Linked DNA regions of Anolis sagrei. The protein of the gene in region 2 purifies or fractionates together with the protein of the main gene of each other region. This does not show direct contact. Links are inferred from orthologs where the notes say so. Each region holds a gene or a part of one and is shown on either strand. Other genes may lie near its edges.

The links.
Region 1: the proteins of LATS2 (region 2) and SAV1 purify together in Homo sapiens (affinity purification with western blotting; 4 studies listed by BioGRID, with this or other methods). This does not show direct contact. The link is inferred for Anolis sagrei from reciprocal best matches to the Homo sapiens genes LATS2 and SAV1.

What each region holds. Positions count from the first base shown.
Region 1 is NC_090021.1:339,940,884-339,948,236, reverse strand, and holds the start of SAV1 (protein salvador homolog 1), read right to left. Parts: upstream 3,242-7,353; 5' UTR 3,045-3,241; coding exon 2,951-3,044; intron 1-2,950. UniProt on the Homo sapiens protein: Regulator of STK3/MST2 and STK4/MST1 in the Hippo signaling pathway which plays a pivotal role in organ size control and tumor suppression by restricting proliferation and promoting apoptosis.
Region 2 is NC_090023.1:28,496,175-28,503,806, reverse strand, and holds the start of LATS2 (serine/threonine-protein kinase LATS2), read left to right. Parts: upstream 1-4,567; 5' UTR 4,568-4,827; intron 4,828-7,632. UniProt on the Homo sapiens protein: Negative regulator of YAP1 in the Hippo signaling pathway that plays a pivotal role in organ size control and tumor suppression by restricting proliferation and promoting apoptosis.

The DNA.
Region 1 (7,353 bases), on a different chromosome or scaffold from region 2:
CAAGAGTCCAGGGTTTCAAGGGAGCAGCCTCCATGCCTCGTGCTCGTCTGCTTTAAGGGACTTTGGTTTTGTGTGGTTTTTATTCCTGGTCTGTTTGGCTTCATGAAGAGGAAGAGAGAGAGGAAGAGGGAGAGACAGAGAGAGAGAGAAAAGAGAGGGAGAGAAGGAGGCTGGAATGAGTAGAGCATGAATAAAATGATGATTCTGCCTCTTCACTTGATGCTTCCTTGCCACAACTTTGTGCTTCTACCATTTTCAAGTTGATCTTTCTTTTTTATTGTTCCATGCAAATGTGAATTTATACATTGGGTTGTTGTAGGTTTTTTTGGGCTATATGGCCATGTTCTAGAGGCATTCTCTCCTGATGTTTCACCTGCATCTATGGCAAGCATCCTCAGAGGTAGTGAGGTCTGTTGGAACTAGGAAAATTGGGTTTATATATCTGTGGAATGACCAGGGTGGGACAAAGAACTCTTGTCTGTTGGAGCTAGGTGTGAATGTTTCAACTGGCCACCTTGAGTAGCATTTGATGGCCTGGCAATGCCTGGGGCAATCTTTTGCTGAGAGATGATTAGATGTCCTTGATTGTTTCCTCTCTGTTGTTTTGCTGTTGTGATTTTAGAGTTTTTTTTTAATACTGGTAGCCAGATTTTGTTCATTTTCATGATTTCCTCCTTTCTGTTGAAATTTTCAATTTATACATTATTTATTAATTACGAAGTACATATTCTTATTTAAAAACATGTAAAACTATGGAGGGGTGGGATCCAAAACACCCAGAGGAGAGCCAAAGTTTGCCCATGTGTATTCTACTGGTTTGAGTCATGGACTCCAAGCCAACCTAAAGTCATAGACTGTAACAACCAGAACTGTCTATGGTGTTTTAAACTGGGCCTAAGAATGGCTATATTCAGGGATGTTGTTATTTAATGTATGTTCTATTTTTAACTGGATAGTAGTTTACAACAAGATGAAAACAAGATACAACTAAACATGATAATATAAGTGCCATTTTAAGCAAGCTTTCTTCCTGCTTTCCCTTTCTTTCCTTCTTCCTTCCCTGCTATGTGCCTTCCTTCTCTTTCCTTCTTCCTTCCTTCCTTGCCTACCTATCCTTTCCTTCCTCCTCTTTTGTTTCTTCCCCCCTCCTCTTTCTCTTCTTCGTTTCCTCTTTCACTCATTCTTTCCTTCCTTCCCACTTTCCTTCCTTCCCTTTCACACATTCTATCCTTCCTTCCCAACTTTCTTTCTTTCCCTTCTTTCCTTTCTTCCGACTTTCTCTCCTTCTTCCTTCCTTCACTCATTCTTTCCTTCTTTCTCAACTTTCTTCCCTTCTTTTCCCCTTCTTTCTTTCCTTCCTACTTTCTCTCCTTCTTTCTTGCCTTCTCTCTTTCTCTCATATCTTCCCTCTTTCCTTCCTACTCAAATTTCTTCTCTTCCCTACTTTCTGTCCTTCCCTCTTTCACTCATTCTCTCCTTTCTTCTCAACTTTCTCTCCTTCTTTCCTTTCTTCCTTCTTTCTCTTCTTCCTTCCCTCTTTCAGTCATTTTTTCTTTCCCTTCCTTTTCAACTTTCTCTTCTTTCCTTCTTCCCCTTTCTCTCCTTCCTTCCCTCTTTCACTCATTCTTTCTTTTCCTTCCTTCTCAACTTTCCTTCTTTCTTTTCTTCCTCTCCTTTCTCCTTTCATTCCTTCCCTTTCTCTTCTTCCTTCCCTCTTTCGCTCATTCTTTCTTTTCCTTCTTTCTCAACTTTCTCTCCTTTCCTTTCTTCCCTCTTATTTTTCTTCTTTTTCTCCTTCCTCCTTTCATTCCTTCCCTCTTTTGCTCATTCTTTTTTTCCTTCCTTCTCAACTTTCTCTCCTTCTTTCCTTTCTTCCTCTTCCTTCCCTCTATTGCTCATTCTTTCTTTTCCCTTTTCTCAACTTTCTTTCCTTTCTTCTTTCCTACCCTTTGTGTCTCCTTCTTTCTTCTTCCCTCCCTTCCCTCTCACTCGTTCTTTCCTTTCTTCTCAACTTTCTCTCTTTCCTTTCTTCCTTCTTACTCTTCTTCTTTCTCTCCTTCCTTCCCTCTTTCACTCATTCTTTCTTTTCCTTGCTTCTCAACGTTCTCTCTTCTTTCCTTTCTCCCTTCTTACTCTTCTTCTTTCTCTCCTTCTTCTTACCTTCCTTCCCTTTCTCTCCTTCCTTCTTTCACTCATTCTTTCCATTCCTTCCTTCTCAACATTCTCTTCTTCTTTCTCTCCTTCCTTCTTCTACCCTTCCCTTCCTCCTCCTCCTTTTCCTTCCTCCCCTCTTTCACTCATTCTTTCCATTCCTTCCTTCTCAACATTCTCTTCTTCTTTCTCTCCTTCCTTCTCTCCTTCCTTCCCGCTCACTCCTTCTTCCCTTCCTTCTCAACGTTATCTCCTTCCTTCTTCTTTCCTTCCTTCCCTCTCACTCATTCTTTCCTTCCTTCTCAACTTTTATCTCCTTTCCCTTCTTCCTTCTTTCTCTCCTTTCTTCCTTCTTACTCTTCTTCCCTCTTTTTCTTCTTCTTCCACTTTCCTTCCTCCCCTCTCAATCATTGTTTCCTTTCTTCTCAACTTTTTCTCCTTCTTTCTATCCTTCCTTCTTCTTCTCTCCTTCCTTCCCTCTCACTCCTTCTTTCCTTCCTTCCTTCCCGCTCACTCCTTCTTCCCTTCCTTCTCAATGTTATCTCCTTCCTTCTTCTTTCCTTCCTTCCCTGTCACTCACTCTTTCCTTACTTCTCAACTCTATCTCCTTCTTTCCTTCCTTCCTCCTTCTTTTTCTCTACTTCCTTCTTCTTTCCTTCCTTTCTTCTCAACTCCTTCCCTTCCTTCTTACTCTTCTTTTCTCCATCCTTCTTCTTCCCTTCCTTCCCTCTCACTCATTCTTTCCTGCCCTCTTTCCCTCCCCTTTTCCCCTCCCCTCCTTCATCTCCTTCCTACTCACTGCGGAGGAGGGGGCTGGTCTCCTTGATGACGTACTTGCCCTGCACCTCCCCGGGCTTCGAGAGCTCCCCCCGGGCCTTCTTCCGGGAAAGCATCCCCCGCCAGGGAAGGAAGAGAGGGAGGGAAGCAGGGAGGGAAGCCCGGCCTGCCCTCGGCCCCTCTCACCGCCTCCTCCGCTTCCTCATGGCCTTCCCCTCGGAAGAGAACCTTCCCTTTTCCACCCGGGAGGAAGGACACTCAGGGAGAAAGAGAGGGAGAAGGCCCGCCCGGAAGACCGACCCTCTTCCCTTCATTCAGGGGTAAACACAGGAAGCGGAAGTCCGCCAGGACTCAGGACTCGGGTAGAGCTGCTCACAGCGCCACCGTGCGGCCGGAAGGAGAATCTTCATTGCTCTCAAAACTGTTTTCAACAAACCTGGGCCAACTTGGGCCCTCCCTCCAGGGGTTTTGGACTACAACTCCCACAATTCCTAACAGCCGGTAGGCTGTTAGGAATTGTGGGAGTTGTGGTCCAAAACCCTTGGAGGCAGGGAGGGAGGGCCCAAGTTGGCCCATGCCTGCTTAGCTGGCCCTGATTGTTTCCTGTCTGTAATTCCTCTGTTTGTTGAGTGTTGCTCTATGTTTACTGTCCTGGTTAACTGTCCAAGGTGAACTGAACCACCTCAACTGGGCTCTCCAGGCGACATTGATTAGCATTGAATGGCCCTGCAGCTTCAAAGCCTGGCTGGTTGCTTCCTAGGGGATCCTTTGTTGGAAGGTGTTAGCTGGCCCTCAACTGGGCTCTCCAGGCCACATTGATTAGCATTGCATGGCCTTGTAGCTTCAAAGCCTGGCTGGTTGCTTCCTGGGGAAATCCTTTGTGTGCAGTGTTAGCTGGCCCTGATTGTTTCCTGTCTGGAATTCCTTTTAAAAAAAATAGTGTTGCTCTTTATTTACTGTCCAAGGTGAACTGAACCACCTCAACTGGGCTCTCCAGGCCACATTGATTAGCATTAAATGGCCCTGTAGCTTCAAAGCCTGGCTAATTGCTGCCTGGGGGAATGCTTTGTTAGGAGGTGTTAGCTGGCCCTGATTATTTTCTGTCCAGAATTCGTCTGACTTTTTTAGTCCTGATTTACTGTCCAAGGTGAACTGAACCACCTCAACTGGGCTCTCCAGGCCACATTGATTGGCATTGACTGGCCTTGCAGCTTCAAAGCCTGGCTGGTTGCTTCCTAGGGGATCCTTTGTTGGAAGGTGTTAGCTGGCCCTCAACTGGGCTCTCCAGGCCACCTTGATTAGCATTGACTGGACTTGCAGCTTCAAAGCCTGGCTGGTTGCTGCCTGGGGGAATCCTTTGTTGGAAGGTGTTAGTTGGCCCCCAACTGGGCTCTCCAGGCCACCTTGATTGGCATTGAATGGCCATGCAGCTTAAAAGCCTGGCTGATCACTGCCCGGGGGACTCCTTTGTTGGGAGGTGTTAGCTGGGCCTGATTATTTTCTGTCTGGAATTCCTCTGGGTTTTTTTTTAGTCCTGATTTACTGTCCAAGGTGAACTGAACTCCCTCAACTGGGCTCTCCAGGCCACACTGATTGGCATTGACTGGCCTTGCAGCTTCAAAGCCTGGCTGGTTGCTTCCTAGGGGATCCTTTGTTGGAAGGTGTTAGCTGACCCTCAACTGGGCTCTCCAGGCGACATTGATTAGCATTGACTGGCCTTGCAGCTTCAAAGCCTGGCTGATTGCTGCCTGGGGAATCCTTTCTTAGGAGGTGTTAGCTGGCCCTGATTGTTTCCTGTCTGGAATTCCTTTGTTGTTGTTTTTTTTATAGTGTTGCTCTTTATTTACTGTCCAAGGTGAACTGAACCCCCTCAACTGGGCTCTCCAGGACACATTGATTAGCATTGAATGGCCATTTATTTACTGTCCAAAGTGAACTGAACCACCTCAACTCGGCTCTCCAGGTCACAGTGATTAGCACTGAATAGCCTTGCAGGTTGCTGCCTGGGGGAAACCTTTGTTGGCGGCCCTGATTGTTTCCTGTTTGGAATTCCTCTGTTTTTTGAGTGTTGCTTTTTTTACTGTCCTGATTTACTGTCCAAGGTGAACTGAACTCCCTCAACTGGTCTCTCCAGGCCACATTGATTAGCATTGACTGGCCTTGCAGCTTCAAAGCCTGGCTGGTTGCTGCCTGGGGGAATCCTTTGTTGGCGGCCCTGATTGTTTCCTGTTTGGAATTCCTCTGTTTTTTGAGTGTTGCGCATTTTTTACTGTCCTGATTTACTGTCCAAGGTGAACTGAACTCCCTCAACTGGTCTCTCCAGGCCACATTGATTAGCATTGACTGGCCTTGCAGCTTCAAAGCCTGGCTGGTTGCTGCCTGGGGGAATCCTTTGTTTGGGGGGGGGATGTTAGCTGGACCTGACAAGAAACAAGCACTGCCAGCTAACACCTCCCAGCCTCCCAAGTAATTATGGTGTCATTGTTTTCCTCCCCCCCCCCCCCACACACACATACATACACACGCACCCCACCACGGTTGCAATGATACAACTTAAGGAGGATTGTGTTGGTAAGAGTCCATATATTAAAAGTAGCACATAATGTACATCAACTCCCTCCTCCAACTGAAATGAAATTGAATCAAAGTCGTTCTAAAAAACAGAGAAAGCCACACTGAAGGTGTTAGAAAACAACAACAACACAATTACTGGACATGTTGAGGTTGAGACCGAAGTCAGGGCTGCCCATTTGCTTTGGTTCTAACATGTATGGCATTCAGATTCCTGAGAATCTTCCAATTAATTCAAAATAAATTGAAATAGTCCCTGGAAGTGCTCTAATCAAGATCAATAAAAGTGCTCTTGGGCAAAGGGGGCCAACTTCTGAGCAATCTTGACATTATAGTGTTTGCATGAATACATGGAAGTTGTCATAAACGAAACACAACCACTTGCATCCTACAATGCATCTGCATGGTGCAATTAATGCAGGCTCAGTGCTGTGGAATTCTGGGAATTGGAGTCTGAAAAGGTGTGGAATTCTGGGAGTTATAGTCATATAAGGCAATTATCCTGGCTTCAAACTACAAGAGAGGAGATTCCATCTGAACACGAGGAAGAACTTCCTGACTGTGAGAGCCGTTCAGCAGTGGAACTCTCTGCCCCGGAGTGTGGTGGAGGCTCCTTCTTTGGAAGCTTTTAAACAGAGGCTGGATGGCCATCTGTCAGGGGTGCTTTGAATGCAATATTCCTGCTTCTTGGCAGAATGGGGTCGGACTGAATGGCCCATGAGGTCTCTTCCAACTCTAGGATTCTAGGATTCTATTCTATCCTCTGCCAGAGCGATGCTCGTCACCACACCACACATCTTAGGATTCCATAGCATTGAGGGCCATTAAAGTGATGTCAAACTGCATTAATTCCGCAGTGTAGATGTGACTAGCAGTGGAAACTTTAAAGTGAGTGAAGATGTGTGAGAAATCAACTAATACCAGGACTAGTAGTAGAGGGTGCATGTAAACTGTAGAATTAATGCAGTTTGACGCCACTTTATCAATGACAGTTATGCTCGCCACACGACCAAGAGGTGTCAGTGGACAACGCAGGCTCCTCAGCTTGGAAATGGAGATGACAATGTATGTCTGTGTCCATATCTCTTAAAGGGGATTGGCTTAACTTCCAGTTTGCTAGTAAAACTGAATTACCATGTCTCAAAAATGCTCGCAATGTTCTGCTCTAGCTCCTTTGGAAGCTTTTAAGCAGAGGCTGGATGGACATCTGTCAGGGGTGCTTTGAATGCAATTTTCCTGCTTCTTGGCAGAATGGGGTTGGACTGGATGGCCCATGAGGTCTCTTCCAACTCTGTGATTCTATGATTCTGTGATTTGTAGCTTTGGCATCAACATTTCTGTGCAAGTAGTAATGGCCAAGGACTGTGCGAATGGAGGTCTACCTATGTTTAGTGTTTGAAGGTGCATTGCACTTCCAACGTCATAGCGCTCCTCCTCCAGGTTGAACTCTCCATCAAATGGGGAGTTTGCAGTAAGGCATCCAGGGAGGAAGTTGAGATCGAGATTGAGAAGGAGCCGCCCTGGCACGGATCTAAACCTCTAACATCCCAAAGGCAGCGTTTTCTAAAACAGGCGAAATGCCCAGCATTTCCTCACTAAAGTGCATGGGTTGTGCAGAGTTCGGCAGACGTGTTACGAGCCCAGCTGAACCGTGGACCCCAATGTTGGGGAGGTCAGGTTGCTGACGATCCTGCTGAGGTTGGCAATTTTCTCCTCCAGCAAGTAGTTCTTCTTCTCCACCGTTTGATGCCTCTGTTCCGTCATCTCCAGGGCTTTCAGGAGCTGGGCGTTCTCAACGTAGAGGTCTTTCACCATTTCGTCTGCTTTTCTGTTCTTGGTGAGCTGAAACACAAG
Region 2 (7,632 bases):
TGTTAAGTAGCTTCTAATGTATATAGCTGTAAAATAAAGAAGTTTATAGCATAAGGTGGCTGTGATTGATCTGTTCCTGCTTTGCTGTGCTGCCGATGCCACTGACATGGACCACCGTGGTTGTGAAAGGCATTGCTTTGCCCCACAACATTCGGGATGTAACAAGAGCACGGACCACCGTGGTTGTGAAAGGCATTGCTTTGCCCCACAACATTCGGGATGTAACAAGAGCGCGGACCACCGTGGTTGTGAAAGGCATTGCTTTGCCCCACAACATTCGGGATGTAACAAGAGCGCGGACCACCGTGGTTGTGAAAGGCATTGCTTTGCCCCACAACATTCTTTCAGCCCTGAATTTTTTTCCTGAGGTCCTAATGATTTAGAAGATGGTGTCTCCTTCAATTCTGAATCGAGTAACTGGCAGCACGGTGAAAATACCAAACATATTCAGTTTGTGCAACCCCCTTTTTTCCCTATGGAATGCAGCGATTTGAAATATATGTTACCACATACAGAGAGAAGCTGCAGTACTGATCCGTGTGTTTAATTACACTGAGATTAATAAACAGCAGGTCTTTGGGTTCAGAATTAAATTGAGCAAACAGTTATATCCCATTCTAGGACTTGTTGCAACAGGTCCAAACTCTCCAATCTGTATAATTTAATATCAATGTACCAGCAACAAACTATTGCCATTAACAAGGAATACCAAAATTGTGGGTTATTTCTCTGTCTTATCAGCGAAAAGGGAAGCCAAAGTGCCAGAATCAGAGATCAAGATAAACAAAAGGCTGGGTTCCATGACAGGAATACCTCAGCTCAGCTGCAGTGGACAAAAGTTGGGCTTTGGGTGCATGTACATTATAGGACAAATGTAGTTCGAGACCACTTCACCTGTCATGGGAGAAAGAACTCGTGTCTGTTTGAGGCAAGTGTGAATGTTGCAATTGGCCACCTTGATTAGCATTTAATGGCCTTGCAGTTTCATAGAATCATAGAATCAAAGAGTTGGAAGAGACCTCATGGGCCATCCAGTCCAACCCCCTGCCAAGAAGCAGGAATATTGCATTCAAATCACCCCTGACAGATGGCCATCCAGCCTCTGCTTAAAAGCTTCCAAAGAAGGAGCCTCCACCACACTCCGGGGCAGAGAGTTCCACTGCTGAACGGCTCTCACAGTCAGGAAGTTCTTCCTAAAGTTCAGATGGAATCTCCTTTCTTGTAGTTTGAAGCCATTGTTCCGCGTCCTAGTCTCCAGGGAAGCGGAAAACAAGCTTGCTCCCTCCTCCCTGTGGCTTCCTCTCACATATTTATACATGGCTATCATATCTCCTCTCAGCCTTCTCTTCTTCAGGCTAAACATGCCCACCTCCTTAAGCCGCTCCAAGCCTGGCTTCTTCCTGCCTGTGGGAATCCTTTGTTGGGCAGTGTTAGCGGGCCTTGATTGATTCTTGTCTGGAATTCCTCTTTTTTTAGTGTTACTCTTTATTTACTGTCCTGATTTTAGAGTTTTTAAAATACTGGTAGCCAATTTCATTGGACAATTTCAACAGAAAGGAGGAAACAATGAAAATGAACAAAATCTGGCAACTAGTATTTTAGAAACACTAAAATCAGGACAGTAAATAAAGAACAACTCTTAATAAACAGGGGAATTCCAGACAGGATACAATCAGGTCCAGCTAACAACTCCCAACGAAGTATTCCCCCCCCCGGCAGGAAGCAGCCAGGCTTTGAAGCTGCAAGGCCATTCAATGACAATGAAAGTGGCCAATTGAAACATTCACACTTGCCTCAAGCAGACCAGAGTTCTTTCTCCCACCCTGGACATTCCACAGATATATAAACCTCACTTGCCTAGTTTCAAACAGACCTCACAACCCCTGAGGATGCCTGCCATAGATGTGGGCAAAACTTCAGGAGAAAATGCTTCTGGAATACGGCCGTACAGACCGGAAAACTCACAGCAACTCAGAGGTATCTATGTTCTTGATATCAAGGAAGACAAGAGGAGGGGGCGGAGAAAGTGCGCCTAACTCTAGGCCCCGCCCATTCCAACCACTTGATGGGCGGAGACAGAACGTTTAACTTCAAGCCCCGCCCACTCAAAGCCCCTTTTTTGTTGTTGTTGTGAGAGAATTGGCCTGGATGATTTTTGATGTTTTATTATCCTTGTGGGAGGCTTCTCTCATGTCCCCGCATGAGGAGCTGGAGCTGATAGAGGGAGAGCTCATCCGCCTCTCCCCGGATTCGAACCTGCGACCTATCGGTCTGCAGTCCTGCCGGCACCGTGCTTTAACCCACTGCGCCACCGGGGGCTCCTACTCAAAGCCCTTAATGGGCGGAGACAGAAGCCTAACTCTAAGCCCCGCCTATTTGGAGCTCTTGATGGGCGGAGACAGAACGCCTAACTCTAGGCCCCGCCCATTCCAAGCCCTTGAGAGGCCTAACTCCAAGCCATCCCTATTTCGAGCCCTTGATTGGCGGAGACAGAGCTTCTGAGTCCAAGCCCCGCCCATTCCAAGGCCTTATTGAGCGGAGACAGAACTTCTAAACCCAAGCCCCGCCTATTTGGAGCTCTTGATGGGCGGAGACAGAAAGCCTAACTCCAAGCCCCGCCCATTCCGAGCCCTTGATGGGCGCAGCCAAAACGCCCAACTCCAAGCCCCGCCTATTTGGAGCTCTTGATGGACAGAGACATCTTCAAGCCCCGCCCATTCCACCCCTTGATGAACGGAGAAAGAGTTCCTAAGCCTAAGCCCCGCCCATTCCAAGCCCTTGATGGGCGGAGACAGAACGCCCAACTTCAAGCCCCGCCCATTCTACTCCTTGATGAGCAGAGACAGAGCGTCTAAGTCCAAACCCCGCCCATTCCAAGCCCTCAATGGGCGGAGACAGAACCCTAACTCCAAGCCCCGCCCATTCGGAGCCCTTATTTATTTATTTCTCGTGTCAGGGCAGCCAGTCAATTATATTACATTTCCAACAGAACAAAGCAAACAAACAGAGAAAATACAAAATTTGTGAGTTTGGTAGTTGATCAAATGTCCTTTGACCAGTATCTGGCCACTTGGAGTGCTTCTGGTGTTGCTGCAAGAAGGTCCTCCATGGTGCATGTGTCAGGGCTCAGGGTGCATTGCAGCAGGTGGTCAGTGGTTTGTTCTTCTCCGCACTCCCATGCCGAGGATTCCACTTTGTAGCCCCATTTCTTAAGATTGGCTCTGCATCTCGTGGTGCCAGAGCAGCCTGTTCAGCGCCTTCCAAGTCGCCCAGTCTTCTGTGTGCCCAGGGGGGAGTCTCTCATCTGGTATCACCCATGAATTGAGGTGCTGGGTTTGGGCCTGCCACTTTTGGACTCTCGCTTGCTGAGGTGTTCCAGCGAGTGTCTCTGTAGATCTAAGAAAACTATGTCTTGATTTAAGTCGTTGGCGTGGTGGCTGATACCCAAACAGGAGATGAGCTGGAGATGTCTCTGCCTTGGTCCTTTCACTATTGGCTGCTACTTCCCGGCGGATGTCAGGTGATGCAATACCAGCTAAGCAGTGTAATTTCTCCAGTGGTGTAGGGCGCAGACACCCCGTGATAATGCGGCATGTCTCATTAAGAGCCACAGCCACTGTTTCAGTGTGGTGAGATGTGTTCCATACTGGACATGCATACTCAGCAGCAGAGTAGCATAGCGCAAGGGCAGATGTCTTCACCGTATCTGGTTGTGATCCCCAGGTTGTGCCAGTCAGCTTTCCTATGATATTGTTTCTCGCACCCACTTTTTGCTTGATGTTCAGGCCGTGCTTCTTATAGGTAAGAGCACAGTCCAGAGTGACTCCCAGGTATTTGGGTGTGCTGCAATGCTCCAGTGGGATTCCTTCCCAGGTGATCTTCAGAGCTCGGGATGCTTGTCTGTTCTTGAGATGAAAGGCACATGTCTGTGTTTTAGATGGGTTGGGGATCAGCTGGTTTCCCCTGTAATAGGCAGTAAGAGCACCTAGAGCTTCGGAGAGCTTCTGTTCAACCATCTCAAAGCTCCCTGCTTGAGCTTTGGTTCCAGAAGTAACCAGCATTCAACCCCTTGATGAGCGGAGACAGAGTTCCTAATCCTAAGCCCCGCCCATTCCAAGCCCTTGATGGGCGGAGACAGAACGCTCAACTTCAAGCCCCGCCCATTCCACCCTTGATGAGCGGAGACAGAGCTTCTAAGCCGAAGCCCCGCCTATTTGGAGCTCTTGATGGGCGGAGACAGAACGCCCTAACTCGAAGCCCCGCCCATTCCAAGCCCTTAGTGAGCGGAGACAGAGGTTCTAAGTCCAAACCCCGCCCATTCCAAGCCCTTAATGGGCGGAGACAGAACGCCTAACTCCAAGCCCCGCCCATTCGGAGCCCTTGATGGGCGGAGACAGAGCTTCTAAGTCAAATCCCCGCCTCTTTGGAACTCTTGCTGGGCGGGGACAGAACGCCCTAACTCGAAGCCCCGCCCAGTCGGAGCCCTTGATGGGCAGCTGGGGCCCCGCCTCCTGGCTGGTATGCGAAGGGCGGGCGGTGGAATGACGCCGGGGCCCCGGGGGTCACGTGGGGGCGAAAGGAATGCTAACAATGTAGCGAATGTCCCAACTGTGCGGGGCTGCTGCCGCATTTCTGGGCGCGAGGCGGAGGGAGGCGAGAAGAATGGAGAAGCAGCAGCAGCAGCAGAGGCAGCAATACGAATATGATGATTTGCGGGGCGCCTTCCGAAGCAGAAGCCAAGCTGTTCCCAGAGTGGTGGAAGTTTCCCCTTGATCCTTTTTCCCCCAGGAAAGAAAGAAAGCAAGCAAGCAAGCTTCCCTTTTGGAGGTAAGGAGCGCAGGAGGGGTGGGGCTGGGCGCCTTCCTCCTCCTTCCTTCTCCCAAAGCCCTTCTTGCTTTTCCTTCCTTGCTTCGGAGCAACAAGTCCGGGGAAGCTGTCGTGCAAAAGTTACTCAACTTGGAAGTATGAGAAGGAGAAACCCCGGGCATTGCAATGGCTCCTTCTTGGAAGTTGGGAGGGAGGAGTGGAAGGCTGGATGGTCATCTGTTGGGAGGGCTTTGGTTGTGTATGCCTGCATGGCAGAATGGGGTTGGAATCATCATCATGGTGGAGCCTCCTTCTTTAACTCCTTGAAGCTTTAATTCAGCAACTGGATGGCCATCTGTCGGGAGGGCTTTGGTTGTGTATTCCTGCATGGCAGAATGGGGTGGAATCATCATCATGGTGGAGCCTCCTTCTTTAACTCCTCGAGGGTTTTATTCAGCAGCTGGATGGCCATCTGTTGGGAGTGCTTGGGTTGTGTGTGTTTTTTCATGGCAGAATGGAGTGTTTGGGTTGTGTAGTCTTATATGGCAGAATGGGGTTGGACTGGATGGCCCTTGGGGTTCCCAACCAATTCTCCCTAACAATGCATTCCAAGTGGTGTTAGACTGCACTAATTCTGCAGTGTAGATGCTCCAGAACATACATGGGCAAACTTGGGCCCTCCAGGTGTTTTGGACTACAACTCCCACAATTCCTAACAGCCGGTAGGAATACTTATTATTGATAATAATATTGCAATATATTGCAATATAATACTAATAATGCAAAATGGTAATAGTATTTTATATATTACATGTAATATTACTAATAGTATTGCAGTATAGTAATACAAAATACTAATATTGTACTAAGCTAATAATACAATATGATAATCGTATTTTATATGTAATATTAATAATAATATTGCAACATAGTGGTATAGTAATATATAATACTAATATTGTACTATGCTGATAATATAATATATTGTATGTACGTATAATATTGAGCATAATATTGTAATACAATATAATCTTAAAGAATACAATATAATAATAATGTAATAATTATATATTACACTATAATAATTGTATATTATATAGTCCATGTAATATTACTAATAACATTGCAGTATAGTGTATAGTAAAATATAGGAATATATAATACTAATATTGTACTATGCTAATAAAATAATATCCTGTATGTACATATAATATGGATCATAATATTGTAATACAATATAATCCTAAAGAATACAATATAATAAAACAATAATTATATATTACATGTAATATATAATGTTGATAATACTATTATAATGTAATACAATGTAATGCTAATAATATTACAATATACTAATTGTATATTAAATATTACATGTAATATTACTAATAATATTGCAGTATAGTGGTATAGTACAATATAGGAATATATAATACTAACATTGTACAATGCTAATAATATAATGTATTTTAAGTATATATAATATTGATCATAATATTGTAATATAATGCAATAAACTAATAATACAATATAATAATTCTGTACTATATAATACATGTAATATTACTAATAATATTGCAGTATAGTGGAATATATAGGAATAGTGGAATATAAATAGGAATATATAATACTAATATTGTGCTATGCTATATATTGAATGTACATGTAATACTGATCATAATATTATAATACAATATAATAGTAATAATACAATTTGCGCAGTTGGTTAAACCGCTGAGCTGCTGAATTTACTGACCGAAAGGTTCACAGTTCAAATCCAGGGAGGGGGTGAACTCCCACTGTTAGCCTCAGCTTCTGCCAACCTAGCAGTTCGAAAACATGCAAATGTGAGTAGATCAATAGGTACCACTTCTGCGGGAAGGTAACAGTGCTCCATGCGGTCATGCCAGCCACATGTCCTTGGAGATGTCTAGGAACAATGCCAGCTCTCTAGCTTAGAAACAGAGATGAGCATCACCCCCCAGAGTCGGTCACGACTAGACTTAAAGGTGATGGGGAACCTTTACCTTTACTAAAATCAATATATTGAAAAATTTGGTGGATCTTAGATTCAATGACATCTTGGAACAGAATAAATAAGATATTACTATTCATGTTTTCCCAGTACTATCATCACATGGCATTCATAGAAGCAGGGCCGTAGCCAGAAAAAAATTTCGGGGAGGGTTGAAAATTTGGGGGGGGGGGGGTGTGTGTGAAAATTTTGGGGAGGGTTGAAAATTTTGGGGGTGGGTGGGGTTGAAATCTGCTTCCTAGCTCACGCTGAAGCAAAGAGCACAGCAGGGGGCAGAGCAACCTTCAATAGCCTGCAGCTCCACCCCTGTCAACCACCTCCACCAAGTCTGGCCCCCAACTTGGTTGCTTCACTACATCGGCTATTGCTGCAAGTAATAATAATAATGAATAAATTGTCAATATTTGCTTGAGATAGTGCTTACATTTCTGGAGGGACTCTTGATTTTTTTGCATCTCATAGACTTAGCATGGGGATTTGGTTAACCAGTTAAAATTCATGAGTAAACCAGTTTTTTTAAAAAAAATCTGAAACATTTCGGGGGGGGGGGTTGAACCCCTAAAACCACCCTCTCGCTACAGGCCTGCATAGAAGTTCCTTCTCAATTTTTATTTATCAACGTCTTCCTCAAATTTCTGAAAACTACTAGTCTCTCTCCCACCCCCACATTAAAGTCAAATACAAAAAAAGTTTCAAAATATTTTTTTTGCCAAAAATAGTACTGTTTTAGATTTGAATGAGAGTCCAAGAAGTTAAAATTTGTTTGTTTATCTATATACTATTTTTATACT